Mus musculus: one gene and its partner. The protein of the gene in region 2 purifies or fractionates together with the protein of the main gene of each other region. This does not show direct contact. Links are inferred from orthologs where the notes say so. Each region holds a gene or a part of one and is shown on either strand. Other genes may lie near its edges.

The links.
Region 1: the proteins of Slamf1 (region 2) and Ptpn11 purify together in Homo sapiens (affinity purification with western blotting; 3 studies listed by BioGRID and IntAct, with this or other methods). This does not show direct contact. The link is inferred for Mus musculus from reciprocal best matches to the Homo sapiens genes SLAMF1 and PTPN11.

The regions. Positions count from the first base shown.
Region 1 is NC_000071.6:121,136,455-121,151,400, reverse strand, and holds part of Ptpn11 (tyrosine-protein phosphatase non-receptor type 11), read left to right. Parts: intron 1-2,166; coding exon 2,167-2,298; intron 2,299-6,704; coding exon of another isoform or gene 6,705-6,716; coding exon 6,717-6,871; intron 6,872-7,771; coding exon 7,772-7,839; intron 7,840-8,246; coding exon 8,247-8,398; intron 8,399-13,871; coding exon 13,872-13,984; intron 13,985-14,946. UniProt on the Homo sapiens protein: Acts downstream of various receptor and cytoplasmic protein tyrosine kinases to participate in the signal transduction from the cell surface to the nucleus. Positively regulates MAPK signal transduction pathway. Dephosphorylates GAB1, ARHGAP35 and EGFR.
Region 2 is NC_000067.6:171,761,131-171,776,735, forward strand, and holds the start of Slamf1 (signaling lymphocytic activation molecule isoform 1 precursor), read left to right. Parts: upstream 1-6,001; 5' UTR 6,002-6,096; coding exon 6,097-6,172; intron 6,173-12,382; exon of another isoform or gene 12,383-12,471; coding exon of another isoform or gene 12,472-12,520; intron 12,521-13,652; coding exon 13,653-13,994; intron 13,995-15,605.

The DNA of each region.
Region 1 (14,946 bases), on a different chromosome or scaffold from region 2:
TAAAATTGAGTGCAATTTCATAGTCACATTTAGAAGCTAACCTGAGACAGGTGGGGCTCTTGGTAGTTGAGCCTGGCAACTGAGAGGCAAGTGATGGTGCAGGGTTTTGGTTGGTGTACTTTTGCATGCCTTTAGCAGTGATGTTAGGTGTCCTGAGTTCCTGGGCTCTTCTCAGTTACAGCTCTTCCCAGTTCCTGCTTTCTGCTTGATGGAAAGGTCAGAGTTCATCTAGCACAGAGGACATGGGCTCGTAACAGAGGAATCAGGCTAGCCACCATTGGAAGTGCAGTTGAAAACTCCAGAGCAGAGAGCCTGGGCAGAATGGTACCTGGTGCCTGTGCTCAGCTCCAGTCCTCACCTCCTTGACCCAGTCCTTCATGTCACCCTGGGAGTGTGCACAGTAGTTCTGGAGTCTCTTGACAGCCTTTGTTTACAGCCTGTGTCCCTCACTGCACAGAAGCAAAACCAGATTGTGGCAGCTCTCCTACGCAGCAGTCCTGCAACATGCAAACCACTAAGCAGAGGGCCGCAGGTGCTGTGAGTCAGCTGAAATGTCTCTTTTCAAGGCAGGGTGGTTTTGTGTTCTCTGTTGAGGCCTCTGTAGTGACCAGAGCAATCCTTGAATTGATTGGTCAGAAAACAGCACCATTACGTTGGCAGTGATAGAAATCCTACCAGACGGTCAAATGCAAAGGCTGAATTTAGAATAAAAATCACATATTCCATCAGCTGCTCCTTCTGTCTCGGGGTCCTTTCTGGGTTAGTTACTAAGCTCTGTAGCTAGCTGTCCTCTTGTTTTTTACCACCTGTAAGTTACTCAGCATTTCTAGACTTTGATGTAAACTTTCCTTGCTGATGTTCACATGGGTGGTTTTAGAAAGTGAGTGTGACGATTTCCAGAAAGACAGAAGCAGAGCATGTTCTGTCTTGGACTTATCATTGGTAGATGATGGAACTGTTCCTCTTGGAGATAACACAGGCTCATTCCTCGGCTGGACAAGGCTTCTTACCTTTATGTCATTGTTACTTCTTTCTCAGCTGCCTGCCCTGGTGTTTGTTTTGAAACAGGATCTTGCTATATAGTTCTGGCTGGCCTGCTATTCACTATGTAGAGCAATCCAGACTTACACTGGAAGTGATTCTCCTGCCTCTGTCTTCAGGGACTACAAGTGTGCACACTCAGCTTTCAGTTTATCTGTTCAGGGTACCACTATGCAGCTCTAGCTGGCCTGGAACTTGCTATGTAGATCAGGTTGTCCCTGAGCTCACAGAGACCTGCTTGCCTCTGCTTCCCAAGTGCCAATACTCAATACATAAATCAATAATGGTGTGTGCTTCCCCCCTCTGTTCGTTCGTTCTTTCTTTCTTTCTTTCTTTCTTTCTTTCTTTCTTTCTCAAGATTCATTTATTTATTATATGTAAGTACACTGTAGCTGTCTTCAGACACTCCAGAAGAGGGCATCAGATTTTGTTACGGATGGTTGTGAGCCAGCCACCATGTGGTTGCTGGGATTTGAACTCGGGACCTTTGGAAGAGCAGTCGGCGCTCTTAACCACTGAGCCATCTCACCCAGCCCCCAGCTCCCCCCCCCCCCCCCCCAATCTGTTCTTGAAGCCAACAGCCATTGCAGACTGTGTTCTTGGTTTTGGGAAGCTGGTGTGTGGTTGGTGTCAGATGAGTCTGGATATAGAGAAAGCAGCTGGCCCAGAACCCTGGCTGCCCCTCTGAGTGAGCTGTTCATACTGTTCAGAGAAATCCAGGTACACATGATAGGACAGTGTCAGCCATCTGCCTGTCCTCTCAGAACAACTGATAGAATGCTAGAATTGCAAGTTCTGCTTGCCTGGGGGCAGTCCCTCCCACTTTGCCTGTTTTATCCTCAGAGCTGAATAAGCAGGTGTTGACTCTGATCTGGTAGCTAGTGGGTGGGGCATGGGGTGGGCATCTGGCCAACCTGCGGCACCTCCTACCCTCCCCCCTGTGGCCTGCCTTGCTCATTTGCATTGTTCTCTTGTTGGCATTCTAGAGGATAGAGGCAGGCTCCTGTCCCAGGAGGAGCCTCCTGCTGCTGTCACCAGCAGGCCTGGGATGATTGGTCATTGCAGGTCTGGATTTTCACTAGGGCTTGGGACATTAATTAACAGGCTCCTTGTGGTTCCTTCCAGAGCAAATGTGTCAAGTACTGGCCTGATGAGTATGCGCTCAAAGAATACGGGGTCATGCGTGTTAGGAACGTCAAAGAAAGTGCCGCCCATGACTACACTTTACGAGAGCTCAAACTCTCTAAGGTCGGACAAGTAAGTATATTGTCGTATTCTAGACACTGTGTAGCTGTCCATGTTTCGAAGTCACTGTGGTACTCTGCTCGCATTCAACCTTTGTCCTGTGTCCTGTCACTCACTGGTTGAGCGCCACGTCGGGTGCCTCATAGCTGTTGAGCCCAGTTTGCCACTATCTTCCCTTGTGAGGAAGGCAGGCATAGGTCCTGCCCTCACAGAGCGTGGAGAGATGGGGGTAAGGGTAACTGCAGCTTCCTGGCCCTCAACTCTTTTTTTGTTTTTTGTTTTTTTGTTTTTTGTTTTTGTTTGTTTTTGTTTTTTCGAGACAGGGTTTCTCTGTGTAGTCCTGGCTGTTCTGGAACTCACTCTGTAGACCAGGCTGGCCTCCAATTCAGAAATCCACCTGCCTCTGCCTCCCGAGTGCTGGGATTAAAGGCGTGTGCCACCACTGCCTGGCAGCCTTCAACTCTTGTGACATGACACAGGGTAGGTAGGTAGGGCCTCTGAGAGGTGACACTTGCTGAGTTGCCAGCCAGAGGGGCTGTGCATGCAGGCAGAAGAACAGGCTCCAGGTAGGGGAGCAGCTACCGTCCCAGGCTGTGATCAAGTCTGTGAGCAAGGTTAGTGCTGGAGCTCTTCTCCATGGCCTGTGGCTCAGGCTTAGTCCTGGAGTGGCTGGCTCGGAGTCATGTTGTTGTGTGTTTACAAGGGCCTTGTTTGATTTCTTTGGGGATTCCTAGATTAAGAAATCTACTTTTATCCTCATGGATTAAAGTCAGGTATGCTGAGAAGCCCTACACTTAGATAGCTGTGCTTCAGGCTGAGGTGACCTGAGTGTGGCTTCTCCAGCTGGCGTGAGGTTGGGCCTCTGCATAACCTTTTGGGCACAGGCGTTGTCTGAGCCACATCCTGATAGCCTGACTGCAGGAAAATGGGATACTGACTGGGCAGGAGAATTTCAGGAGGGTATTGCAGAAATACTCTTGGTTAGGTCTTGTTGGAAATAGCCTTAGAAATTAATAAATTAATTATTATTTATAACATTTACTAGTATTATAAATAAGATCACCACTACTACTACTACTACTACTATTACTACTACTACTACTACTACTACTACTACTACTACTACGAGACAGGGTTTCACTATGAATCCCTGATTGACCTGGAACTGGCTACAGAGACAGGCTGGGCTCAAATTCGCAGATATCTTCCTGCATCTGCCTTTCTAGTGCTGGGATTAAAGGTCTGTGCTACCATGACTGACTGAGGATTTTTATTTTGATTATCTGCCTGGCCTGGAATTTGCAATATAGACCAGGTTAGCCTCAAACTCAAAGAGATTCCCCTGCCTCTGTCTCCATATGCTGGAATTAAAGGCATGCCCCCATACCTGGCTCCTGGGTATTAAAGTTTACTTACTTGTTTTTACATTTATTTTGTGTGTGTGTGTGTGTGTGTGTGTGTGTGTGTGTGTATGCGTGTGCATGCATGCATGCCTGTATGTATGTATGCAAAGGTTAGAGCACCATTTATGGGAATTGGTTCTCTCTCTCTGCCATGTGGTTTGAGGATATTAAGAGCTTTGAGCTTTATCCACCATTTGGAACTTGTCTCAATTAATTATTATTATTTTAAATCAATCTTTTTTTTAAGTTTTATTTATGTATTTTTATAGGAGTACACTGTCGCTGTCTTCAGACACAGCAAAAGGGGGCATCGGATCCCATTACAGATGGTTGTGAGCCACCATGTGGTTGCTGGGAATTGAACTCAGGTCCTCTGGAAGAACTGTCAGTTCTCTTAATCGCTGAGCCATCTCTCCAGCCCCCTGTCTCAATTCTTGTGCCCAGTGAGCACATGTAAAGCTGTGTTCTGGGAGGCCTCTGTGTTGGTCTAGGCCTTTGACCTGTTCTGCATGTCTCCAGCAGTGGTCTTTCCTGCTGCGCTTACTCCTTTGGTTGGGAATGGTATGGAAGCAGTGAGGATCAGGTCACTGGAAAGTCATGTGCAGGGGTCGGGACAGTTTGGCTATTGGAGGGAAAAAAGAGACCAAAGGTGTCTCAGAGCCATGAGTCTGAGTGGACAGCATTGTTGTGGCCAGTGCGAGAAGCCAGACGCACAGCTGCTGTGTGGACGCATTGAGCCGAGCTGTTGAGCAGGCATCTCCATCGGGTGTCAGGAGAGTTATGATGCACATATGTTTCTAGCACTGTGCTGCTTGCTGGGGACAGACAACACAGGTGCTGTCTTGCTCTCTCAGTTGCACTCCACTGTCCAGATTATGTTGAATCACATGCCCTGATATGTCACTATAGAGTGCAGTTAGGGCCAAGTCAAAGGGTGCTGTGTGCTGAGATGGGCCAGGGAAGGAAGTTGATACTCACTTAGCCAGCCACAGCCGGTACTGAGCACTCATTCTCTGACCCACAGAACTGGAGGGGATGAGCCCGCTGCAGGGAGAGCTCAGGAGCAGTTGGCAGATGCTGCCTAGAGCGGTGAGATGAAGTGAGATGGTGGACGTTGGCTGGGGGAGCATAGGGGACCGGGATAGCAGAGGCTGGCTTGGGATCCTTGTAGTGGAAGTGATGGTTGGGTGAGCACAGGATGACCCTGTAGCCTCCAGACTTGCAGAGTAGGCTGCAGGAGGGACAGCAGGGCAGCTGTCAGGGAGGCTTGGCAGAGGGCCGTGACCCAGTGTATTGTGGGTAGGCTGGTTCCAGACCAAAGCTTTCCCCTGTAAAGATGGAAGGGCAGGAGGAGAGCCTAGGGCTGATGGTGAGCAGAAAGGGCTCTGTTTCCTGTGCTCTCTGAGGGGGTGTATATAGTGTGTGTAAGCCACAGGAGGTGTGTTCCTCTTGGCACACCCGTGGTGGTCAGCTTTCAGGAGTTGGTTCTCTGGGATTGTCAGGTTTGATGGCAGGTGTCTTTACCCACTGAGCTGCCTTGCCAACCCTCTTGTGACATCTCATGATGAACTGTCAGGCTTGTCAGTGTTTCTGAGTAGCAGACAGGCAGTTTCTTTCTTTTGGTGCTAGCAAAAAGCTGTTCATCTTGCTCAACACCCCCTCCCTCCTTTGAAAGGAATGTGTGTTGTGTGGCTTGTCTCTGGATACAGAGAATGCTGCAGGGCTTGCTCCATCTTGTGTACCAGGAGATTTTAAGAGGGAGGTGTGGGAGATGGCGGCACACTTGCGCTCTTATCCTGGCATAGAGGCTAACATGGATCCGTCTGGCTCCCGCCTTGCTATGACAAGTCACCTACTGTACAGCACTGATGTACAGAGATGCCCTGGCTAAGAAGGGGTGCTGCTGTGCAGTGTGGCAGTGCATGCTCTGTTTCTCTTACTGGCCTCCTGTCTGTGACCCATGAAGTTGCCTGGGTTTCAATCACTTAGTAACGACAAGGTTAGTTTTCCATGACATCAGCAGATTAAGTGCATGTAGCACACAGGAGATTTTTTTAATCACAGCAAGCACCCTTGGATGTAAGGAAGTTCACCAGCATTGGTGGATATTGAAGCCTCCCTCCCTCCCTCTGACCCCTGCCTTTCCTTTCTCTCCCCTTCATATCTTTGCCCTTCCAGCCCTCTCTTCTTCCTTTCCTCTCTTTCGTCGTTCCCCCCGCCCCTCTCCCTTTCCTTAGTGTTTCCTGGCTTGTCTCCGTGGGAAAGTCACTGGTGGCTGTTCCAGGCCAGCTTTGAGCTTCTGTTCTTCCCGCCCTCTCTTCTTCCTTTCCTTTCCTCTGGTCCAGCTTTGAGCTTCTGTGGTCAAAGTGGTCCTGGTGCCTCTGTTGATCCCTTGCTGTTGTTGTAGCTAAGAACAGCCAGGATATTCTCAGTCCTCACCATTACTTCCATTAGCTGGGAGGGCCTTTGTTTAGCTGCTTTAACCCTCTGTGTGAGAAACAGGTCTTTGCAAATGCATTTGGGGGTTTGACTCTGCAGTAAGGGGCTTCCTGGGATTTGAGCCCAAGCCTCACCATCTAATTCACAAAGCCTGTTGTCTGGCTGTGACAGTGCTGTAATGGACGTGGGTGCCTGCATGAGGCTGCAAGGGCAGATGCTCGAGGGAGCTAGAGTTTGCCAGGCTGCTAGTTGGGAAGACAGACTGCAGTCCTTAGGGCCCTCCGCGGCTCTGAAGTTGAGTGCTGCCTGACTGAGGACGTTGGGGAATATGGCCTGCTCTGATGACTCTGGACTATGCCTTGGCTACATTTTGCCAGAAGATGCTACAAATTGCCTAGCTCCATGTCTTGGATCTCCTAACAGGCAGGTGCTCCTTCCAGGCTGACCCATTGATTGTCAAAGAAGCACTCCTGGGCACCAGAGAGTGGCTTTCCATCTGCAAGGCACCAGGAAAGGTCAGCAGCCGCCGTGGCTCCTCAGCCTTTGGTTTATTTAATTCTGTTCTGGCTTTTCTTGGCTCTACTCCAGGGAAACACAGAGAGAACCGTCTGGCAGTACCACTTTCGGACCTGGCCAGACCATGGCGTGCCTAGTGACCCTGGAGGTGTGCTGGACTTCCTGGAGGAGGTCCACCACAAGCAGGAGAGCATCGTGGATGCAGGCCCTGTCGTGGTTCACTGCAGGTGACTGCCCAGCTTGCTTTCCTTTAATAGTTTCTGTTACTTAGGGGCTGGGAAGTCAGTTGTCCTTGGTAGGGATGTGACGGACACACTGTTCCCAGCACTCTGCAGACTGCTCATTCTGAGGGCAGTCCTTCCCACATAGGCCTTTGTGGAGGCTGCCCCAGGGTCACCACAGCAGAATGTATGGTTCTATGAGGGATGCTTCAGTTTTCTACAGTCTCGTTCATATGCTGAGCCAATCCAGAAATGAGTGAAGCTTTCCTTGTCGATCACTTTGTTTGTTGTTGTTATTTTGAGATAGGATTTTACTATGTAGTCTATGTTGGCCACTACCTCTGCCTCCAGAATGTTGCGGTAACAGGCCTGTACCACCAGGGCTGGACTGTTCAGTGTTTTTTGTTTTGTTTTTGTTTTTGTTTTTAAACCACCATAAATGTAGGTTTTGCAGCTAGGTTTTGGCTATTTAGGATAGAAACGAACATACCTTTCTTCCTCTGAGTATCTGCTGTGGCTTTTAAGACAGGAAGCCACGAGTCTGTGGGCAAGTTTGTATGTCCAGAAGAGCCATAATTTGTCCAACTGTTTTCAAGTAAAAGTTGTATGAAACTTGGGAGTAGAGAAAAGATGCCACGTGTTGTTCAGGGCCCCAAGTCTCACCACTGTGAACCTCGTGGTGATCCCCCCCCCCCGCACCCCCACTCCACAGATGGGGAAACAAGGATACCCTAGGGGGCCCATGCCAGGACTGAACCCCTCTGCACGGGCAGGGGTTGCTGATAGGAAGCTTCTCCTATCAGCACATTGTGTAGACACACAGCAGAGAGCCTGTCGACATTGACAGCTTGGTTCTGAGTGAAGCTCCATCACTTCATCACTCTGCTCTTACTCTTCTACCTACAGCGCTGGGATTGGCCGGACAGGAACCTTCATTGTGATTGACATCCTTATTGACATCATTCGAGAGAAAGGTAGGTCATTGGAGGACAAGAAGCCGCAATTCCTGTTCAAGTTTGTGACAGGAGGTGCCAGGAAACGTAGCCTGCGAGAGAGAATTTGCAGGAGAAAGAAGCAGTTATGGAAATACGGATGAGATTCACTTTCAATGTGTTTTGCTAAAAATAGTCCTAGCACTTTGGTCCCATCACTGTCTCTTCTGTCACCTGTGTCACATGGTCCCTCCTGCCCTGGTGTTGGGTGGCATTCTTGGGGAGCGAGGGGCTCCTGGGGCATTGTCCTGGCATTTGCTGGCATTGTTATGCGTGTTGACTCAGGAGTTCTGCCCTGCACCCGCATGGCTAGTTGATGGGAAGGACCGGCTCTCTGTCCTTGCTGTGGCAGGCGGTGCTCCTGCAGCTTTAGGGTCTGTGCTTTGCAGGTGTGGACTGTGACATCGACGTTCCTAAAACCATTCAGATGGTGCGGTCCCAGAGGTCGGGGATGGTCCAGACAGAAGCACAGTACCGGTTTATCTACATGGCTGTCCAGCACTACATAGAGACGCTGCAGCGCCGGATCGAGGAGGAGCAGGTATGGAATGAGGCTCTGACACATGGCTCAGCTCCTGTCTGGACTCGCTCTCTTCATCTGGAAAATGTTGACAGTTGGCCTCCCTGTAAGCTGTGGTCAGCATCCACTGCCTCCCAGTTGAGGGAAGTGTGGTGCCATCATCATGAGCGGCAGTCGGCTCTGCCTTACAAAGAGGAAGTGACTTTCATATGCTAGGCTTAGAACTCAGGGTCCACAGTTTCCAGCCATTTCAGCTTTGCTCTAGATTGATCTATTCTGATTCTGCCTTGTAAAATGAATGCCTTATTTCTAATAGAGCGTGGCAGTTTGAGCCACTAATTTGGCTGCATTGAAACAGTGAATTTCAATTTTAATAAGCTATGCATAATGAAGAGTGTGCAGTTGGAGCCTTTCCATGTGAGACTATTCATAACAGACACAAAGCTGAGCTAATTAGGATGCGCCAAGCTGAGGGAGATGAGGAGAGCCGTTCTTTTGGGGAGCTTTTCTTATTCCTTTCCCAAACCCTGTTGTGCTGCAGCAGATGGGTGGTGTCTAAACACCAACCACGGTTGTCCTTTTTATTGCTATTGCTTTCCAAAAGCCCAGGAGAGGGGACTTGGTGCGTGTCATAGGGTAGCAGGCTGTCTCTTAATGAGTAGCTTAAAAAAAAAAAACAGTGATCATCTCGCTGTATAGCCCTGGCTGACCTGAAATCAGTTTGTAGATCAGGCTGGCCTTGAACTCAAAGATGCACCTGCTCTGCCTCACAAATGTTATGATTAAAGGTGTGCGCCACCATGCTGGCCTGGAAGAGTAGGGAGAACCGCACCATCCTCCTTGAGAGCCAGAGGCGGGCCCCTTCCTGAGTTTAGGTACTCAAGTAGACGCGGGGTCAGGAGGTCACATGATTGATTAACAAGCCACCCATCCCCAACTTTAATTTTTTAAATATGAATTCAATGTAAGCAGTTTTTTGTTTTTTTTTTTTGTGGTGTTAAAGAGCAAACCTACGTACGGCCTCATGCACGCTAGCTCAGAACTCTGCCCCTGAGCTGCACCCCAGAGCCTCATGCACACTAAGTTAGCACTGCACCACTGACCTGTACCTCCCACCTCTGAACCTGGATGGCTGCCCTAAAGTTCTTTTATACATGTCTCCCAGTTTACACTTAATTGGGACCACTCATAGTTTAGAAGAGATGCTCAGGGAATAAATAAAGAGCTAGCACATGGTTGCTCAGCCTGGTCAGAAACATTCAGGAGATTCTGTCATCTTGTCGGGAGAAGTCCTCTGTACCATTTGGGTTTGTATTTGAGTTGGGATTGAGGGTCTTTGGCTGCTCCCCATTGAGGGACTGCTGCTTGGAGCCTTCATATTGCTTCCTGGCACTGAGACTATTAAGACTGAGGCTGTAAGTTGGATTTAGGAAATAATTTTGGGGGAAAAGAATCTTATTTAGTAACTTGGTTGATTGTGGGGAAGGAGTATTTACTGATGGGGACACAAAGCATGTGTTTCAGTTACTTACATGTTAACAAGTGAGTGTCCTGCTGATTCCACCTGAAGGATGCAAGCTTGCACTCACTGACTCGCTCACTCATTCATTCATACATACAATCATTCATTCATACAGTCATTCATTCAGCTAATTCATTTTGATACTAGTATGTGTTAGCACTTTGCAATTGTATTAACTCAGATTTTGGAACTTGGAACTTTGGTGTTAAAAAAGTATATAGGAGGGATGGGTTGTGGTGGAACAAGCCTTTGAGGCCAGCACCCAGAGAAAGGACTAATCTCTAAGTTCAAGGTCAGCCTTGTTTACGTAGTATGCTCTAGGACAGCCAGAGCTACATAGTGAGGCCTATGTCTCAAAAATAAACATACATTTCTGCGTGTATGGTTTGGGCTGGGGGTGTAGCTCACTTGGTTTGGAACTTGCCTAGTATACACAGAGCTATGGTTGGCCCCATGTAAACCTGAAGTGCTGGCATGTGCCTGAATCTCAGCACTTGCGAGACCAAGATGGGATCAGAAATTCAAGGTTGTCTTTGGCTGTGTATTGAGTTCCAGGTTAGTGAGAGCTATATAGGACGATATTGCAAAAACAACAAAGCAACAGTGAAAAAGAAAACTACCACTGCACACAAAAGAGTCAACTGCACACAAAACAGTCAACTACCTGTCTCCCTGCTTATTTTTAAATTGAATTTCAATGTGTGTGAGCCTGTGTCCATGTGTAGAAGGAGGAGGAATCAGACCCCTTGCACCAGGATGTGCACTGCCCAGGGTTGCTGATGGGAACTTAGCTTTCATCTGCAGAAGCACTTGCGTCCTTAACCACTGCACTATATGGCTCCAGCCCAAGCCCAGCGGATTCTTAAATTAAGCAACAGGACAAAACTCATTTAGTATAATGAATTAGTTCAAAATGTAGCCATCTTCCAACTTTGGATGAGTTAAGCCCTTTGGGAGTAAAAGAATTGCTAAATGAAAACAAAGTGGCAGTTGGGTGGAGAACCGTGGGGAAAGAGGCGGAGTGAAACAGAGGAAGCGGGCCAGCAAGAAAGAGATACACAGAGGGGCGAGCAGAGAACGGGACAGAGCACCGTAGGGACAGTCCTGAGTGGCTTATTAAGACTGCCTCTTGTGCTGCAGGGCTTTTTGTTTGTTATTTCAAGACAGAGTTTCTTTGTCTGTACAGCCCTTGCTATCCTGGAACTTACTCTGTGGACCAGGCTGGCTTCAAACTCACAAAGATCTGCCTGCCTCTGCCCCGCAAGCACCGGGATCAAAAGTGGCACCACCAGTGCCCAGCTGTGCCACTGCAGATTTGTTGAGAGGTTTTTTTTTTGTTTTTTTTTTTTTTTTAATTTTCCATTTATATTAGTAAGTACTTTATTTGCAAAAGCAGTGTGTGGAGTGCGTGGTATTTCTTTTACTCAACTTCTGAACACAAGCATTTATTTTTTTCTTCAAACTTTATTTAATATACATAATATTTAAAAAGGGAATGTTTATAACTTACATGAGTCTGTACCTCTTTGCTTCTAAGTGCATTGGTATATATTTTTTAAAAAAAGATGTTCTGTTACATCATCATGATTCAGTTACTAAGTTGGGGGAGCAAATTGAAAGCTCTGTATAATCTGCAGGTCAGGGCTGGAGCCCAGCGTGTGAGCATTTACTAGGCTCCTGGGGTCCATCCCAGTACAGCACACAAGCTTGCCCAGCATGTGTGAGCACTTATGTAGCTTGAGGCAAGAAGGCTGGGAATTCCAGTCTAGCCTGGGCTATGTTAGACCTTTTCTTGATAAAACCACAACCAAACAAGAAATTAAACATATGTCTTGGAAATACAGCTCAGAGGTTAAGGATACACACTGTTTTTATAGAGGACATGATGGCAGAGGGCTCAAAACTGCAGGTAACTCCACCTCTAAGGGATCCAGTGCATGTGTGTGTGTGCGCGAGTACACACACACACACCTCATGGTGACTTCCTCATGTGCACACACAGACATAAACACAACTCAAAAAGCTAAAGTAGGCCATACTCCACATTCAGATTTTTCCAGTTTGTCTTGCTGTGGTCAGGGTCACATGGTGTGTATAGCATTCATGTTTGTTTCCTGTCTTTCATCTGGAATAGTTTCTATGTCATACTATTGCTCTTGCTCCATACTTGGGACATTCCAGGAGCTGTCAGTTGCACCCTGCAGCTGAGACTCAGGCTGTGCTGTGCCAGGCCCTTCTGCACCACTCCAGTACCTTAGGGCTAAGTTGATTCAGGACAGTCAGGTCAGCTCTGCCTCTTGAGAAGATGATGGTGAGGTTTCTTCACTGGGAACTTACAGAATCAAGGCTAGCTGGGCATGGTGGCACATGCCTTTAATTCCTATAGTGCAGAGACACAGAGGCAGGGGGATTTCTGTGAGTTCCAGGCCAGTCAGGGCTATATAATGAGACTCTGCCTCAAAACAAAAATACTGTGTCTATGTATTGAGAGTGTACAGTGTATTTTGTGTGTGGAAATGCTATGGGATGATTGTCATGGTTAGTTGGTTAGTGTGCCCAGCACCCCACAGTGCATGCTGAGGTGGTGGAGTCTACTCTCAGCAGAGTTCAAGTTTGCTCTACCTTGTCCAGTCCAGTGCTGGGCATGAGGCTTCCAGAGCCCGTGGAAGATGTTATGTCTGAAGATATGTACTGTGGTCAGTGTCTCCCTCCTGCCACAGTCCCCAACAGCCCCTGCCCTAATCACAGTTTGTAGAAGTCGGGATGCTTGGTGAGCCTTCCAATTCTGGATTGGAGTTCATTCATTTCATATGGTCAAGTTGACAACCAGGAATAACCACTGCAGGTTAGAATCCTGTTCTTCCTGCCCCCTCCTCCCCAGTTCTGGGATGGGGATGTGCACAGCTCCCTCTCCTTGCTGCTCAGTCTCCCAGAATGGAAGGTGTCCAGAGTGAAGAGGGTGGCCACGCAGGAGCCTCACTTTGATTGGATTTGTTGTCTGTGCTCTGGGAGCACATCCATGGATAGTGTGCAGTGGCCATTGACTCTTCACATAGTGTACCCATGCCTAAGCATCCCAGGGCACTTGGTCTTAGACATGAAGCCTGTAGATTCTCATGTTCCTTGAATAAGAACTACTCATTCCTCCTGTGGTCTTCATGTAGCCCAGGAAGGCCTTGAACATAGGGAAGTCTGCACATGTGCAGTACAGGTGCATTGTTATGGATATTCACTGCATGGAGAGCCGACTCTGCAGGGCTGTCTGCTCTCTACACACATGGCATGTGTGAGCCTTTATACATGGTGAGATGAGATTACATTCCTGTTGTTTGCTCTGTTGGTTTCCTTCCCCTACCATTTCATCTTAGGGTGCTGTGGTTGAGATGGCTGAGCACATCTCAACATTGTGGGAGGGCTCTGGGTGCCATCGCCAATACTGCTAAATACATAAAGTGCATTACTGTGCCTTCCATCCTTGCACACAGTGATAGAGCTCTGTGCTGAAGCAGGAGTAGTGCCTCTAGCCTGTGTCAGTCAGCAGTTCCTTGCAGCTCTGGGGGCTCTGAGGGTTGTGGTTGCAGCACACTCCTCCTGCAGGTGCCGTGAGCTCCTAACCATTTAGTCAGCATGTTAGTGTTCTTAAGAGTCTGGCCTGTGGGCTGGAGAGATGGCTTAGCAGTTAAGAGCACTGACTGCTCTTCCAGAGGTCCTGAGTTCAATTCCCAGCAACCACATGGTGGCTCACGACCATCTGTAATGGGATCTGATGCCTTCTTCTGGTGTGTCTGAAGATAGCTACAGTGTGCTCATATAAATAAAAATAAGTAAATCTTAAAAAAAAAAAAAAGAGTCTAGCCTGTCCATCTGCCTCTTTTTTTTTCTTTTGATAAAATAGCTTTTTTGTTTCTGTATTTTTCTAAAAATCATATCCACAGTCCTCCTTACTTGTATTTTTTTTTCCTTAACTTTCAGAAAAGCAAAAGAAAAGGACATGAATATACCAATATTAAGTATTCCTTGGTGGACCAGACAAGTGGTGATCAGAGTCCCCTGCCACCCTGCACCCCAACGCCACCCTGTGCAGAGTAAGTAGCGATACGGCGGCAGCGTAGGTCTGGTAGAAGCTTAACAGCAGTTGCTTGCAGTATTCTCCTCAGGCTTGCTTGCTGCCCACTGATGGTGCATGGGGCGGTGGGGTCCAGGGACTCTCTAGGGCTCATGGTTGCAGGGCCCCTAACCAGTAGGCACGTGATGGGCTCTCCAGGATCCTGTGGGGCCCTGGGCATGTTAGGTAGGGTTCTCTGGGGAAAATCTAATTTTCCTTTTGCAGGGAGCATTATTTCAGTGGGAAGCGCTGTCCCTTACAGTGTGGAGACTCTTAAGAATAAATAAACTCTCTGTTCATGTGTGGACATGACTATGATCTGCCAATCTTCCTGTCAGTCAGGGTTTTTAAACCAAGGGTCAGAAAGCCAGAGCCCATAGGCTAGCTTTGCTTTTTAAAGGAGTTCTTATTTAAGACAAACAAACAAACAACCCCAAAAACCTGACAAGCCAACAGTTGCATGGGGACAGCTATCCCAGTAGGAAATGGCGAGCAATTACGAATGGGTGTGCTGTAAAAGAAGCTGCAGGTGGCTTACGGACATGCAGGAGAGGCTCATTTTCCTTGGTGGCCAGCAAACACGAAGGGAAAGCTCAAAGTTCTTTTTTTTTTTTTTGGGGGGGGGTTCGAGACAGGGTTTCTCTGTATAGCCCTGGCTGTCCTGGAACTCACTTTGTAGACCAGGCTGGCCTCGAACCCAGAAATCCACCTGCCTCTGCCTCCCAAGTGCTGGGATTAAAGGTATGTGCCCCCAACGCCCGGCTTCAAAGTTCTTTCCACCAAGCAGAGCCACCAAGCAGTACCAGCAGGGGGTGTCCAGTGGTGGTGAGGACAGTTTTTAAGGAACGGCTGTTATATAGTGGTGGTTCAAGCACATTGGTTCAGCTCCACAGGACAGCTTGCCCCAAACTGCAGCCAGAGCCTTCTGAACACACTAAAATT
Region 2 (15,605 bases):
TTCCGGCCAGAGGATTAGATGAGGCTCGTAAGGGGAAAGCCTATCCCATCGTTCAAGCACAGGGGGCCTTGATGAGCAGAGACAGTCTATGGTTTTAGAGCTTTATTGCAGAAAGGCAGGGAGAAAGAGAGAAGGTAGGAAGAGGGAGAGAGGCCGATCATGGCCACGTGGGGGGAGGGGTGGAGGGAGGGAGAGAGGGAGGGCTAGAGAAGAGAGTAAGAAATGTGAGAGTTTAAAAAGAGAGAGGAGGGGCCAAGCAGCTTCTTTTATAGTGGGCTGGGCTATCAGGTAATTGTGAGGAGGAGCATACCTGGCTATAGTCTGGTAACTGTGGGTATGGACTCTAGCCAGAATGCCAGGAGCTTGGGACATTGTCTGCGTGACTGATAATCACACACCTCTCCTGTGGGGGCTGTGGAGGCAGTAACTTTGACAGGAGCCAGGGGTCCAGGAGACATGATCGAACACCTCCTGTCACATGTAAGTGGAAATCACCAGCCATCGGTTTCCCGGGGTTTCAGACCTTTGCTCAACTGGAGACGAGGCTGTCTGTGCACAGCCCACTGCCCCACAAGGACCCAGCAAAGCCAGTGGTGTAGTTCAGTTTTGACCTGAGAGTCTAATGGTAGAAATCCAGTCTGAGAGCTGGAAAGGAAAACAGATGTCCCTCATCAAGCAGCCAATCAGGAAGCTACAGGACTCAACCCCTGTTTGCTCCACCTTTTGTCCCCCAGCGTACTCTGCAATGATTGTCATATCCACCACTTGGCTACAGGAGGCAGTCTGCTTGGAAATGGCCTGCAGCTGATGAGTCAGGGTGTGTCCCTGGTTCCTGACTGCCACTCTTTCCTAGAAGGAGTACCATGACACAGGCATTTCCCCTTCTTTAAGGACTCTTGCCAGTAACAAGGAGGCCAGGAAACTCTGTGGTAAGGAGCAGTAGGAAACACCGTAGCCCTCATAAGAACGACTCTAAAAGTGCCATGGGAGGAGTCAGTGAGGTAGTGGCTCTCAGCCAAGTGTTCTTTGATGAACAGAGAGGCCAGTCAGTCCAGGCTGTCCCTCCTCTGTCCCCCCAGAGGGGAGGATTTCCACACCACATTGGCTCTGGGGTCTGCTGGCTGAAGCATCAGTGAAAATGAAAGATTTCTAGAGAGGAAGTCCACAGTGTCTCTCCATCCCCATACGTCAGTGTTCTGACCTGAGTTTGAGGCACACTGATGTGAGAAACTGTGGTGAGGAGCATGTAGTGAGCTATCCCCCCAGATGACATAAGGGCTGTGGGATGCTTGGGCCTGGATCTAAGCCACGGCTCCTCTCATCCAGGGTCTTTATCAGCTCTCTCTTTATCACAATCCTCTCCTGCGCCACCCCTCTACCCCATACACACACAGCCCAACAAGGAGGGTTTCTGACTGACTGATCCTGTATCAGATACCTGGCCCCCTCTACCCATTGACAGCTTCCTCATCTTACCCAGCAGGGCAGACACAGGGGTATTTTTTCCCAGTGTTTTCCCCAGGCCAGTTTTAGACTCTGCAATTAGGTCTCCTAGGAGATGTTCAGAATTTGGGGAAATTTTGTACTTTCATTTTGCCTTTGTGGGTTTTTTTTTCTCATCCAGATAAATGTGTTCATTGTGAGCCCCACGTGGCTAGGTGATCTGGCCCGTCCTTCAGTGACTTTTTATTTGCCAGAATAGTTTGTGTAATAGAGGACTTTTACTTAGAAGTCATGTTGAAGATGGTCATTGGTTGGGAAACCAACATGGTCAGAGGCATCAGCCCCTGAAACTGGCAGGCAGGCAACTTTGCCACTTGTAGTTATGCATCAAGAGAAGGAAAGGATAGCAAATCTTAGAAGACAGCATAACGTGGATTTCAAGAGCCGGAGATTGAGAAGATGGCTCAGACCGTAAAGTGTCCGCCCCTCGAGCTTGGGAACCTGAGCCTGAGTCCCTGATGTCCACATAAAAGCCACATACACACACAACACATTCATATACACACATAATACAGACATTACTAATTAAAAATAAAGAATTGGATATGGGTTCACTGCAAAGCCCATTTGAGTTTGGGAGAGGCTGCTCTTTGTATAGTCCTCCTCACTCTCAGAGTGAGGCACTGTGTACCCAAAGGGAGGAAGTGGTACTGTGCCACAGGTGATGGGGGCTAGGAACGAGAAACCACACATATCTAGGATTCTTTCACTGCTCGTACTAGAAGACATGTTCTATAGATAGTAAGCTATTGGCCATCATGAGACCAAAGACTGGCAACCCCCCCCCCGTGTGTGTGTGTCACAACTCTTACACATCCATCAGTAAAATAGGGAAATCATACCAGCATCTTATTGTTTCAAAGATTTATGGAATAATGTATATGAAAAGCCTGACCTGCAGGGTCTACCGTTAGTGACACTCCTTTCTTTCCAATTTCTGGATTCTTCTAGGAATAATAAGTGTCTTCCTGGAAAAGGGAAAATACCCTTTATTTAGAGGCTGGATTCCCAGGTTTGGCCTAGGGTCAGTTTTATACTCCCATGAGCCCTGTCTGCTCCTGGGTTGCTGTGAGGATAAAACAACATAGTAAATGTGTTGGCTTCAGAAAAAATGGCTTTGTCAATACAAGATGTGCTCAACTGTGTCGTTCCACATTGGTCTGATCTGTCAGCATCCGCTCTCTACATTGAAGGAACAGCTCTGCCCAGAGCTGTATAAATTCTGAAAACTGAATTAGCCACATGGCCTGTCTTAGGGTTTCTATTGCTCTGAAGAGACACCATGACCGTGGCAACCCTTATAAAGGAAAACATTTAACTGGGAGTGGTTCAGAGGTTTAGTCCATTATTGTTATGGTGAGAATCTTGGCAGTGTGCAGGCAGACATAGCGCAGAAGGAGCTGAGAGTTCTTCGTTCAGCTCAGTAGGCAGCTAAAAGAGATTGTGAGCCACTGGGCCTGGCTTGAGCTTCTAAAACCTCAAAATCCAAAGAACTCCACTCTCTATGAACCCATGGGACCCATTCCCATTTAAACCACTACACTCTCAGACTCCCATAGGCTTGTAGCCATATCATAATGCAAAATGCATTTAGTCCAACTTCTAAAGTCCTCATAGTCGATCACAGTTTCAACACTGTTTAAAAAGCCACAGTTCAAAGTCTGTGAGGCTTGTGGACAATCTCTTAACTAGAACCCACTGTAAAATCAAAATGAAGAAGCAGATCACATATTTCCAACATACAACGACACAGGATATATATTATCACTCCAAAAGGAAAGAATGGGAGCATAGTGAAGAAAGACACATCAAGACAGAAAACTAGCTGGGCAAACTCCTATTCTGTATCTCTATGTCTAATGTCAAAGTGTTCCTCAGATCTCCAACTCCTTTCAGCTTTGTGAACTGCAACACACTTCTTCCTCTCTTGGGCTGGTCCCAGTCCCTGTTAGCAGCTTTTCTAATGGCTCTGGCACCTCCAACCTCTTGTGGTTCCAAGGCAATCCAGGCTTCACCTTCACAGCTTCACACAATAGCCTCTGTAGGCCTCCATGCAGAGACACCCACAGCTTTCCTTTGTCATGGAGGGAGATTCTGCAACCCCTTTCTTTTATCTTTTACTATAAAGCCAGAGCCATGTAGCTAAAATTACCAAGTTCTGCTACTTGCTGGGGCTAGAACACACAAACACACACACACACACACACACACACACACACACACAATCATTCGGTTATATCTGCATCAACTTTATGGTTTTGATGGTTTTCTTCACTGCCCTAAGCTTGGCTGTCCTGGAACTCCATCTGTAGATGAGACTGGCCTTGAACTCAGAGATCCACCTGTCTCTGCCTCTGGAGTGCTGGGATTAAAGCTTTTCTTTAATTCCTTTTCACAGTTCATTAATTGCTTTTCACAAATCAGAAGCTTAGCTGGCTCTGGTCTTGTCCTGAGGTCACCGCTCCCTCTATTCCACTTAGCATTAGACTTTTCTTTAAACCTTTTATCTTCTTGAGCACTGGACTTGACTCTATTGAAATTTTTGGTGCTATTTTCTACTCCCCCCAACTGTACATTTAGTATTTTTCCTTTGCTCAGCTTGCTCTTTTTCATTATAGATCCTCATTCGCATGGAACATCTATACTGGGTCCCCTTTTCACAAGAGTGGGGGTGGAGAGAATGTAAGAGACAGAGGTGGTGGGCGACTACAAGGAACCAGTGTCTTCCAGACACAGCGGGACACATATGTATTCAAGAACATAGTCCTTGGTAAGTCATCCAGGCTCTGGTGGAAGATCACACATCCAGGAATATTTGGGCAGCACAAAATTGTTTTGATGGGCTAAGAAGGAAAAGACACAAAGCTGGGTGGATGTCCTTGGAAGAATAGGGGACATGAATATGATAGAATTCTCAAAGAACTAATAAAACTATTATTTTTTAAAAGTAAAGAGTTCATCCTAGAAGAATAAAGTGAACATGAGTCTAAGTCTTTGAAGAGAGGGAGGGGCCTGACCTAAGCACACAGGATGGAGCATGCATTCCAGGAGTTGTGTGACTCAAGGGCATGCATTATTCTTGAAAACTCTGATTCAATAGCCAGGTGTGGTGGTGCACACTTTTAATCTCAGCACTTGGGAAGCAGAACCAGGTGAATTGGAGACCAGTCGGGTCTACATGGTGAGTTCCAGGCCAGCAAGAACTACATAGTGAGACCCTATCTCAAAAAAAGAAAATACAATAAAACCATCAGACAAACAAACAAAGGAAAAGGGAAAAGGAAGGAAGGAAGGAAGGAAGGAAGGAAGGAAGGAAGGAAGGGAGGGAGGGAGGGAGGGAGGGAGGGAGGGAGGGAGGGAGGGAGGGAGGGAGGGAGGAAGGAAGGAAACTCCAATTTATATCATTTTTCAATTTCTATGATATTAACCCCTTATGTGGAGTTAATTCCTAGCTACCACAGTGAGGACACATCTGGGAACACACCATGCCCAATACATCATTATGAAGTTGGATACAGGAGGCAGGAGAAGAGAAAACAAAGAGAACTACAGACCAGTTTTCCTCTAACTCCAGCTCTTTCTACCCCATGACCTTTGGGGTCAAGAGTAGATTATCTGTGAATATGACAATGGATTCTAAAAGCATTAGCCTGGGGACTAGTAAGATAGCTTGGTGGATAAGGATACTTGCTGCATAGGCCTGGCAACGTGAGTTTAATTACTTGATCCCACATGATGGAAGAAAAAAGCTGATTCCTAGGGGTTGTTCTTTGACTTTCACACACACACACACACAGCCTCACCTTTCAAAGTCTCCTTTTGAGCTCCTATTCTAGTGTTCTGTTCATGGAAGTTCTTTCTTCCATCCTTTCTCCATAGCAAACCTTACAAACAACTTCTAAATTGAAGGCAACAGAGAGCTAACTTGATTCTGCCCCACTGTGCCTGTCAGGAAAATGGGCTGTTGGTCAGAGATGTCTACGCCTGTCTACTCTATCAGTTTGTGACTATAGCTCAAAGTATCACTTGCACAGGTATTCAATGAGATTATGTAACGAATCATAAGTAACAGTCCTGTCATCTCATGCCAAGTAAGTTACAAATAGAAGTTGAGCTCTGGATTCCCTAATTTGTAGGTGGTCTACTCAATGTCCGTTTTTTTCTTAGGATCCAAGAAGAGTTTACCAGACAGATCTGCTCAAAGAACTTGTGACACCCATTTCCTGGAAACAGCTTAGAAAAAAAGAGGGGTGGGGGGGGAATCACACTTCTTCCCCAAGCCAGGGTTTGACTGATGTGACATTACAGCCCCTTTCCCAACTCCCATGGGTCTGAACACCTGACTTTGGCTTCTCAAGAACAATGAAGTGATAAAGTGATTTAAGCCTGATCATAAATGAGCAATCCTGGAGGCTCAAGTAGAAAAAAAAAAAAAAACCCGGTTGAGACAGGAAGCTGGTTCAGGAACTTGTCAGCAGAGGCAGCACTTCGACGATCAGAGCTTCTTCCTTGGGGGTAACAGTAAGCAGCTGTCCTGCCGAGCTGAGCTGAGCTGAGCTCACAGCTGGGGACCCTGTCTGCGATTGCTGGCTAATGGATCCCAAAGGATCCCTTTCCTGGAGAATACTTCTGTTTCTCTCCCTGGCTTTTGAGTTGAGCTACGGAACAGGTGAGTGTCCATTTGTTTAAAGGGTTTGAGTCTTGTGTTTAGCAGTTTGGAATCAGCAGAGCCCCATGGATGGAGAAGCCAAGGGCTGGGGAGTGCTGTTCAGTTGCCTCTTCTTTAAGGAGAGTGCCTCTGGGTTTCCACTGTGTCTTTCAAAGAGGAAGAAACCTGTTGAGTTCCCTGAGCCTTGGGCTACAAGGATTTGTCCCATCTACACTAGTTTCTATGGAAACCAGAAGCTAAAGGCACCTGCTATGTCCATAGTCAGCTTCCTGGACTCAGGCTAAAATTCTGAGTAGCTGGTTTATGTGGCTACCCTTCTGGCAAAGACCCAGGCTAGGGACCAAAGCTCTGGGACACTTGACCTATACTTCTGCTGAGGAAAACGACTCTCACATGTACATCATTGGCAGACAAAGAACACCGGTCCAGTGAAAAGCAAGGGTGATAGGAGCAACAGGTAGAAGTGGGAAACCTCAGACCTTAGGCTCACACCAGACAGTGGCTGCGGTGTGGTCATGCTTTCTTATAAGAGATGACTCCAAAGCACCAAGAAGAGGAAACGTTGGGATTTTGGAGCCCAGGGTTGCTTACAGAATGGGGAAAGTGCAATCAGGAAACTTCAAGGCTCTGCAGTGGGCTCAAGTGATGGCAAAGGGTTAAAGGAGCAGGACTTCTCTCCCATCCCTCTGGTTCTTCTCTTTTCCAAGGCAAGCTGTTGTTTTCTACTTAGTGGGTGGGAACTGTAAGGAAAGGTATTGGAGAGCAACCGTGCTAAGCAGTGCATACTGGGCTAACCATGGAATGAATGGTCAACTCCATTGTAGAGTTTAATTAGATTGTGGGAGACAGCCTGGCAGAGATGGCTTTAGGAAGCGGATCGGGGAAATCCTGAGAGCCAGAGCATTTTGGTCGTGGGGGATTCATGACTGTAAATCCATTATGGACTTTTCTAAGAAAAACCCTGAAATGTGCCAGGGATTGGGGGTGGGGGGCTGTACCTAGAATCTTTTATTCAAGTCTCAGATGAGGAGACCCTTGTCTAGCTCCACTTTGAGATAATCAAACTGAGCATCTTTGGAGGTAGAGCTAAGCCCTTCTTGTTGCATACCATTTGAACCCACCATTGCTGGCTTACTTGGTGACTGTAGTAACTATGGAATGAACGTTTGGTTTTCTCCTTGTCTAACCTTGTCTGTAGCAGCTCAGATGTAGCTAGCAAATGTTCTGCTTAAGGGTAGGAGGTCACTGGCTAGTGAGCGACAGCCCAGCCCCAGGATACATACATGTCTCTCCACTTGGCAACTATTCTTTCCTTGCATTCCACGTTCTAAAATAAGCTCAATTTTTGTCAGTGTTTCTATTTATAAATGTGTACTCTTTTGTGAAACCCCATTAAAACCCAAATAGAAATACTTTGCAAATGAGACTTATCAGTCGTGTCAGGGCAACCCAGAGGAGCTTGATTCTTGTAAAAAAGTGTGCACCTTCCCATTTCTGCTCAATTTTCAGTTCCTACTCAGAACTATAAGATGCAAAAAGTGCAAACGTCCCTTCCCAAGAAAAGCAAAGGCTCCTAAAGGATAGTTGATGTCTTTATTTACAGTGAACTTCACATGTAAGTGAGTGATGTTCAAGAAGCTAGGCAGCTTCTATATGGCATCTTGACTTTAATCCAAGAGGCAGAATAAAGAGTTGCTATCTTTGGGTAAATAACTGCAAGACAAACTTTATAGAAAGCATTGTTTTAAGTGTTTTATCCTTCAAATTCTCATACCAGCCCTATGAGATTGGTGCCACCATTGCTAGAACTTTGTCACTGAAGAAAGATAAGCAGACTAGATTAACCGTTTCTCTGTACTCATGAGGCTGGATGCTAGACGTTTCAGTGAATGAAACTTGATATGCTCTGTTTGAGGACTGGGAAGAATGATCCAATGTGTTTCAAGGTCCCAAGAGGAAAACTAGGCTACGATGTCTGTGATTAAGGTGTATATGTTGAATTAAATTGAAACTAATTGAGTATGGGGTTTTCCAAAAGGAGAGAGGCATTGCTGAAAGGAAGGAAAATGAAGAGGCACGTAGGAAGCATTTGATGGGGAGCTGGGAAGTAGAAACTTTTTTGTCATAGTGGTTTTTGCTTAACCTTTTTTGTTTATTAGAGGAAAGTTGCATGTGCATTTCTGAAACTTCAACAAAACAAAACAGATTAGAATGAAGACTTGCCTTCTTTCTATAACCCTTGCTATAGATGACACTCTGTCCATGTTTCGAGTATCCTTCACAAAGTAGGTTGGAGTCTACTAGAGTTGGGAAGGAGAACTTTAGATGGAGATACATCCCAGGCTTCAGTGATGTGAGTGTTTGGGTGGAATGGCAAGGGGTCTGTTGCAATAAAGAAACCCATGGTTTGTGGCTAAGGAACTTGTAAATCCTCACCAGAAAAGTGGGGAGGAATAGTCTCTCATCCCACATTGGGGATGTTATAGAAAGAAAATGGAATTCATCTTGATTGTGGAAAGGGGGGCATTTAGACTCATGGTGTCGTTCATTCATTCAACCCATTTAATTTCATTTATTGACTTTGATAAGAAGGATTTCTTGGGCTCCCATTGAGTCCCAGGTACCAGTTAGAACAGTAGTTCTCAACCTGTGGGTCACATCTTCTCGGAGGGTCACATATCAGATACCCTGCATATCAGATATTTATGTTACAGCTCATAACAGTAGCAAAATTACAGTTAGGAAGTAGCAGTGAAATAGTTTTATGGTGGCTACAACCTGAGGAATGAAGTGTCGCCAGGTTAAGAAGGCTGAGAATCACTGTTAGAATACCACAGTGAATAAAAGATACAATCCCTCTTCTTGAATGCTTCTAACTCTGTGAGCACAACAAGTGCTAACGTAGATAAAAATTGTGCTGAGAAGCACAAAGGAGGGATGGAGAGATGGAAGAGGGAAGGAGGCGGCAGGAAGCCTACCCTAAACCTGAAGTCTGGAAAGTCTTCCCTCATCAGAAGACCTGGAGGGTGGAAGGAACTGGACAGGCAAAAGGTGGGCCAGGCTTTCAGGCTGGGGGATGAGGAGTGCAAGCAGTGTGAGCAACGAAGACCCAGCCCTCTCAACCTTGGACTAGGCATCTTAGTAGGTTATCTAGGTTTAAAAACAATCCTTAGACCAGTTGTTTTTTTCCTTCCTGAGTCTACATTTACCTCTAGAACTGTGAGGCCCATGAGACCTGTCTCTTTTTTTTCTTTCCTTCTCTTTTCTTTTCTTTTTAAAGATTTGTTTATTTATTATGTGTAAGTACACTGTAGCTGTCTTCAGACACTCCAGAAGAAGGTGTCAGATCTTGTTACAAATGGTTGTGAACCACCATTTGGTTGCTGGGATTTGAACTCAGAACCTTCAGAAGAGCAGTCAGTGTTCTTAACTGTTGAGCCATCTCTCCAGCCCCCTGTCTCTTTTCTAAAAATAAAAAATAAGTAAAAATAAAAAGAAAGAGAGAAAGAAAAGACAAAAGAAAGAAGTAAGAAAGAAAAGAAAGAAGAAAGAAAAGAAAAAAGAGAAAAGAAGAATGTAGCGAGGTAATAAAAGAATATGTAAAATACCATAATGGAGCCAAACATAAGGTCCTGAGGTAGAAACCCCACTTTGTCAAAGGCTTAGCTAAATCCTGAACGTATCAGGCCACTGTTCACCTGCCCATATGAGTCACTCCACCATCAAAGCAGAAATACTCGTGAAGGAAAGTGAGTTGGTGTGAGGTATAGAAATGTTCCTGCCCAGTCTCTTCTAGTAAACAGGGCTACACTGAATCACAGGCTCGCTGGAAAACCCTCATCAGGCAGGAGGATGTTTCAGGAAAAGAGACTCCACTTGAAGGCTTTTACAGCCCCGCATGTGTTTCCATTTGAGCACCCTCCAGACTCAGAGGTCATGGGAGCAATTACGTCATCTTTCTTCTCATGTGTTTGGGTGTTGGGGTCTCCTTCTGGTGGAACTTTGACTCCAGTCCTTATGTGTGGACTGTCTTCATCTACCCCATCGGTTTCCTTTCATCCTTTCTCCTCTCGACTTCTATCATTTGTCTGTTTGTTTGTTTGGCTACTTCCTACCCTACCTTTCTCTTCCTTGTACCAGTTCTGTACTCTGAAAGTACAAAAACAAACAACAGCAGCAACAACAACAACAACAAGCCTGCAGTGTCTGGTGACAGGAAAAGGTGTGGGAGACGTGTAGGAGAGTGAAAAAGAGTTAACAGTCTTAGAAAGGGTTAATGTCCCCATTTCCCCCTTCTTCTTCATATCAAAATTAGTTTAAAATGTCAACAGTGTGAGAGTGATTCTGTTTTTAAATGTTCAGCTCTCTTTGAGAAATGGTGTTTATGGAAGTGATCCCCGAGTTGTATGTTCAGGGGTCCATGGGTGGCTCTCAGTCTTCCCTGTTTCTTTTACATAGAGAAACTTGGGTTCAGGACCCAAGAGACCAAACTGTATCTTGGGCACATTGTTACAATTCGGGTGTAAAGCCATCAGAGGAGGTGTGTCGTCTGGAACTGTCAGGCATTTCTGAGTGTGGCTGGAAAAGAAAGGCCCAGTGTTCTTCCCAGGGTACCACTGGGAAAATTGCAACAGACAACCACAGGAAAACCAAGCGTTGCCACCTTAACCGAGAACCGGCTGAGCACTGTGTTTTCAGGGAAAATATTAGCAACGCCCCAAAGACCTAGTTCTTTAACACCTACCATGCTTTCCTGTAACAGCCAAGCACCAATGAGTACAGTCAAGTACTCATCTTGACTGTAGCCGGTGTAGAAAGCATTTTTCCCCAAATCACTAGTATTTCATTAATCTGGGCTGGGTCATTTAGTAGACAGTATAGGGATTTCAGAGCACATTGATGTCAAGAATATTTTGGACATTTTACCCAATTTCCAACAGCTCATTTCTACCACAGTTGAAATGGGGTCTTTTCTAGCAGACCTGTTGCAGAAACAGGTGGTTTTCTACCCTTTCGAATCTCTTATCAGCGAGAGCAATCTATGCTCATAGAGTCATGTGTTCCTAACATGAACATTAACTTAGGGTTAAATTCGGTTGTATACGTGTCAGGCTAAGGTAAACAGGAGCTTGCCGAGGGTAATATGGCTTTCAGTGCCTGCTAATTGAACAGATATTTATTTCAGAGCCTGTCTGTGCCAAACACTGTATCAGGACATCAGACACAAACACTGGTATGACGTCTGTTCGTTTGTTCTCTAGAGAAGGACTGTATTCAAGTGGGACAGACAGCAATACAAATGGATAACTGTGCATTTAACACCAGACGGTGACAGCAAGGGCAGGAAGTATGTCCTAGGAAATCTGTCAGAGGAGGCACCTAAAGTAAAGTAAGGCACTGAGAAGTTCAGGTTCATAAGGGAAGAACTCTCCAGGGTCGGGAAAGTTCTTGATGAGGTTCTGGAGCAGGGAAGTTCTGTGGCCATAGTGCAGTGAAAGCCAGAGAGTGGGCACGGAATGGGTTTGGAGCAACGCTAAGTTCGAAGTGAGCAGATTCAAAGACTGTGAAGTTTGTAAGGGCTAGAACGCCCAGGAAGATTAAAAACAATAGAAAGAAAAACCTAAATCAGACATGGTTTAAAGGATCACTGTGTCCGAGGTATAAAGGCTGGGAGATTAGCTGGCAGAGTGGTAGCAGCTAGGCCTGTGGTGACGGTGTCAGGAAGGAATAGGTGGCAAGGACTTCTGTGTTGGATCAACTTGAGAATTAGAGCCAGCAGGATTTTCTGTCAAGACTAAATGTGGAGTAGGAGAAAGGACAGGTTCAAGGGTCCTCCAGTGTTCTTGGCCTGAGAAACTGGATGATCTGTCATGCCTGAGCAGAGTTCTTTGCTAACGTTGGACGCTATTTAAACTTCCAAGTGCCCATCTATGTAGGTGGTGGAGTCTACAGTGAAAGGATTAGCGATGGTCTACAACTGTAAATATTGCAGTTATGTCACACTGTGGAGCTAAATGAGAAATGAGGTGTAGATAAGGAAAAGAAGGAAACCTGAGCCCGACCATGCTCTGATACTTAGAGATCTCAAAGAACACAAGTTTCCCCTAAGGAAACTAAGAACGATAAAAGAAGAAAAACAAAAAAGCAAGTCATGGAAGTGTAGTATCTTGGGGACCAAATGCAGACCATGTTTAACAGAGGGGTGATGAACTACACCATGGGTTCCTGAGAAACACGCAAGGCAACGATGGAGAATTAACAGACTTGGCTCAGTGTGACAGACTGACAAGCGTGATCCTATGAGAATTTGGAAGAAGAGTTGTCTGGAGTGGATACAGGGAAAATTGGGTCAGGAAGTAAACGCAGAAAACATAAATAGATGTGCAAGAACCTTCCAAAAAGAAAATGAAAATAACCAAGTGACTAAGGATAGACCTGGGGTGGGAGGAGAATTTCTCTCTCTCTCTCTCTCTCTCTCTCTCTCTCTCTCTCTCTCTCTCTCTCTCTCTCTCTCTCTCTCAGATAAGGGCAATTAACTGTTTGTATGTATGTGTGTGTTGGTGGAAGAATTCCAGGAGGCATCGGTAGTGCAGGGCTTGGCTCCGGAGGCAAAGCCTGAAAGCCTGAGAGTACTTCTCTAGGGAAGATACTAGTCTTGGATGGGAGCACGGGTCAGTCCTCCAGGTAGATTGGCTGGTTGGGATCTCCATAGATTGAAATCTGCTTTTGGTTTCTTCTCTATTTTTTTCTTTTCAGTGAATCAGAAAGGGAGGCAACCCCTGGGAGAGGAGGCAGGAGGGTTCAGGGTTAGGCTGCGGCTTTGAAAGAAGCAGAGGTATTAAATGCTCAGCACTAGAATCCCTGAGAGTGGTTTGAAAGAGCTTTGAGTTTTCGTTGGGGTTTTCCCCCCCTGTTCTTGTTGGTTCAGCATTTTTAAACAAGGGAAACAAAATAATCTCTTGTCCTTACCATTATTAACAATCGGGGATTGTTGGAGAAGCAAGATTCCAGTTTGGGCACAAAGAGCATCTCCGTCCTAGTTCTCACAGGCCTCAGACCCTTCTCTGCTTCTTCTCACCTGACTTGATGCTTCCAGGCTCCTCCTCACTGTCACTGCTCTTCACCCTGCATATTGAACCTTGGCAGAGAATTTACAGCCTAAGGTTCCAGTCTCTGACTCTGGCGCTCACTACTGTCACTTTAAGGAAGTCACTCACTTTACCTCTGTTGTCTGTGCCTTCGCTGTTCAGTCCGAGTTGAGAGAACCCTGGTATTCATGATTTGAGGATTTCCACTGGATGCTCTGAGATACTGAAGTTTACAGTTAGGATCCTAGTGGGAATCCTGGTAGACCACCACCTGACAATATGATATCGTTCAGGAAGTAAGCAGAGTCTCAGTCTGTCTTTCTCTATCCTCAACATAACAAATGTCTCCAGATCTTCCATCATAAGTAATTGTCTTCCCGTCCTTCCCTCAGGTGGAGGTGTGATGGATTGCCCAGTGATTCTCCAGAAGCTGGGACAGGACACGTGGCTGCCCCTGACGAATGAACATCAGATAAATAAGAGCGTGAACAAAAGTGTCCGCATCCTCGTCACCATGGCGACGTCCCCAGGAAGCAAATCCAACAAGAAAATTGTGTCTTTTGATCTCTCTAAAGGGAGCTATCCAGATCACCTGGAGGATGGCTACCACTTTCAATCAAAAAACCTGAGCCTGAAGATCCTCGGGAACAGGCGGGAGAGTGAAGGATGGTACTTGGTGAGCGTGGAGGAGAACGTTTCTGTTCAGCAATTCTGCAAGCAGCTGAAGCTTTATGGTAAAAATGGGAATTTTTGTACTTAGCACAGGAGGGCCTAGAAGGTTCTCAGTCCCAGAGTTCAGGCCGTTCCCAGAAGTAGGATGTCTGGAATTGGAAGCAACTTGAAAGATCTGGTCTAACAGGTATTTAAGTTTAAGGGAAGCACTTTGACAAACAGACCTTTATGGCTTTTTCTTCCCATTGGTGGAAGCTGATTTGATTCCTGTTTTGAAAGAGAGGGAGCCTGCTGTGTGGAGGCCAAAGGACTAGCTTAGTTTGCATATTATTTTTTTAAATAAAAATACACACAGACACACACACACACACACATATTTATTTATCAAGCTTGACTTTTACAAAGTTTGACTACAACTGAACAGACCCACCTCCTCTTTCATTTGCCAGGGAGCCAGACTCCAGTGGCAAGCGATTTCACATGTGCTTGCTCACACATATGTGGGATGTTTGCTACAGCAGAGGTTCTGAGGGTAAAGAGAGCTGATAGTACACCCACAGGCACTTCACCAAGTCCCAGAGCCTTGGGGGGGGTAGGGGTTCCACCTACACTGCGAAAGAAACACCTCTCTTCTCACTTGAACCAGGATCTGCTTACATAGTTATTTAGTTGTGGACCGGTAGAACCTACATTTTGGCTGAATACAGGACTTGTCTGAGCCCCTTTAACCTCCACTCCTGTCCTTGAAGACACCTACAGTTCCTACCCCTTAGGCCCTGAGGCCTGTCTGCTTTCCAAGGCTTCCTGACAGCTGTGTGGAGACTTCTTTCAAAAGGATGTTTTACATCTCCAAGGATGGGATGGGAGTTCACAGCCAGCATATTATTGGAAGCTGTAGCTTTCTAGGAGAGAAAGAAGAACATCTTGGCTCTCTCCTGCCCCAGCACGTTCCTCCAGCAAACAGAGAATGCAGAGCTCCCATAGCCATCTGCTGAGTGTGCGTGGAGGCTGCACATCATGTGTTTTTTAAATAACGTAAATATTATATAATCTGTCCTTTTGTTCTTATGAGTTTACTGAGTTCGTCACACCTTATATAATCAGCTGGGTGTGTTGGGAAGTGCTGTCTCTACAACCAGGATTTTCTTTGAGGAAAGAGAGAGAGACAGAGAGAGACAAAAAGAGAGAGACAGAGGCTGATTTCTGAATCAGACTAAGGTATTTATCTCAGCCTGGCCACTTAGAAGTTACATAGTCATTCAAGTCATGCTGTTTCTCTGAAGACTCAGTTTTCTCACCTACAAAATGGGAATAATTATTTTTAGTTGTAATAGTTGAGAGAAGTAATACCAGTGATGTGCTGATTCTGTAGTAGTTGAGTTAAACATATAAACGGCTCCTCCCTTTTTACCTTGCCTGTCTCATGGCATTGGAATTGTATGATTGATAGGACTTGTAGCTAAGATTAAAAACCCTACCACTGCTTTAGACCCAGAAAGCCCGTGCCTCCCCCCACCCCATGCACATGCAGGCAGGCATGCACATGCACGCGCGCACGTGTGCACACACACACAAGCACACACTCGAGTACACACACATACACACAGGCACGCGTGCATACACGCACACACATGCCTGATGAAAGGCGACCATTGGAAGCTCGTGCTTCTAGC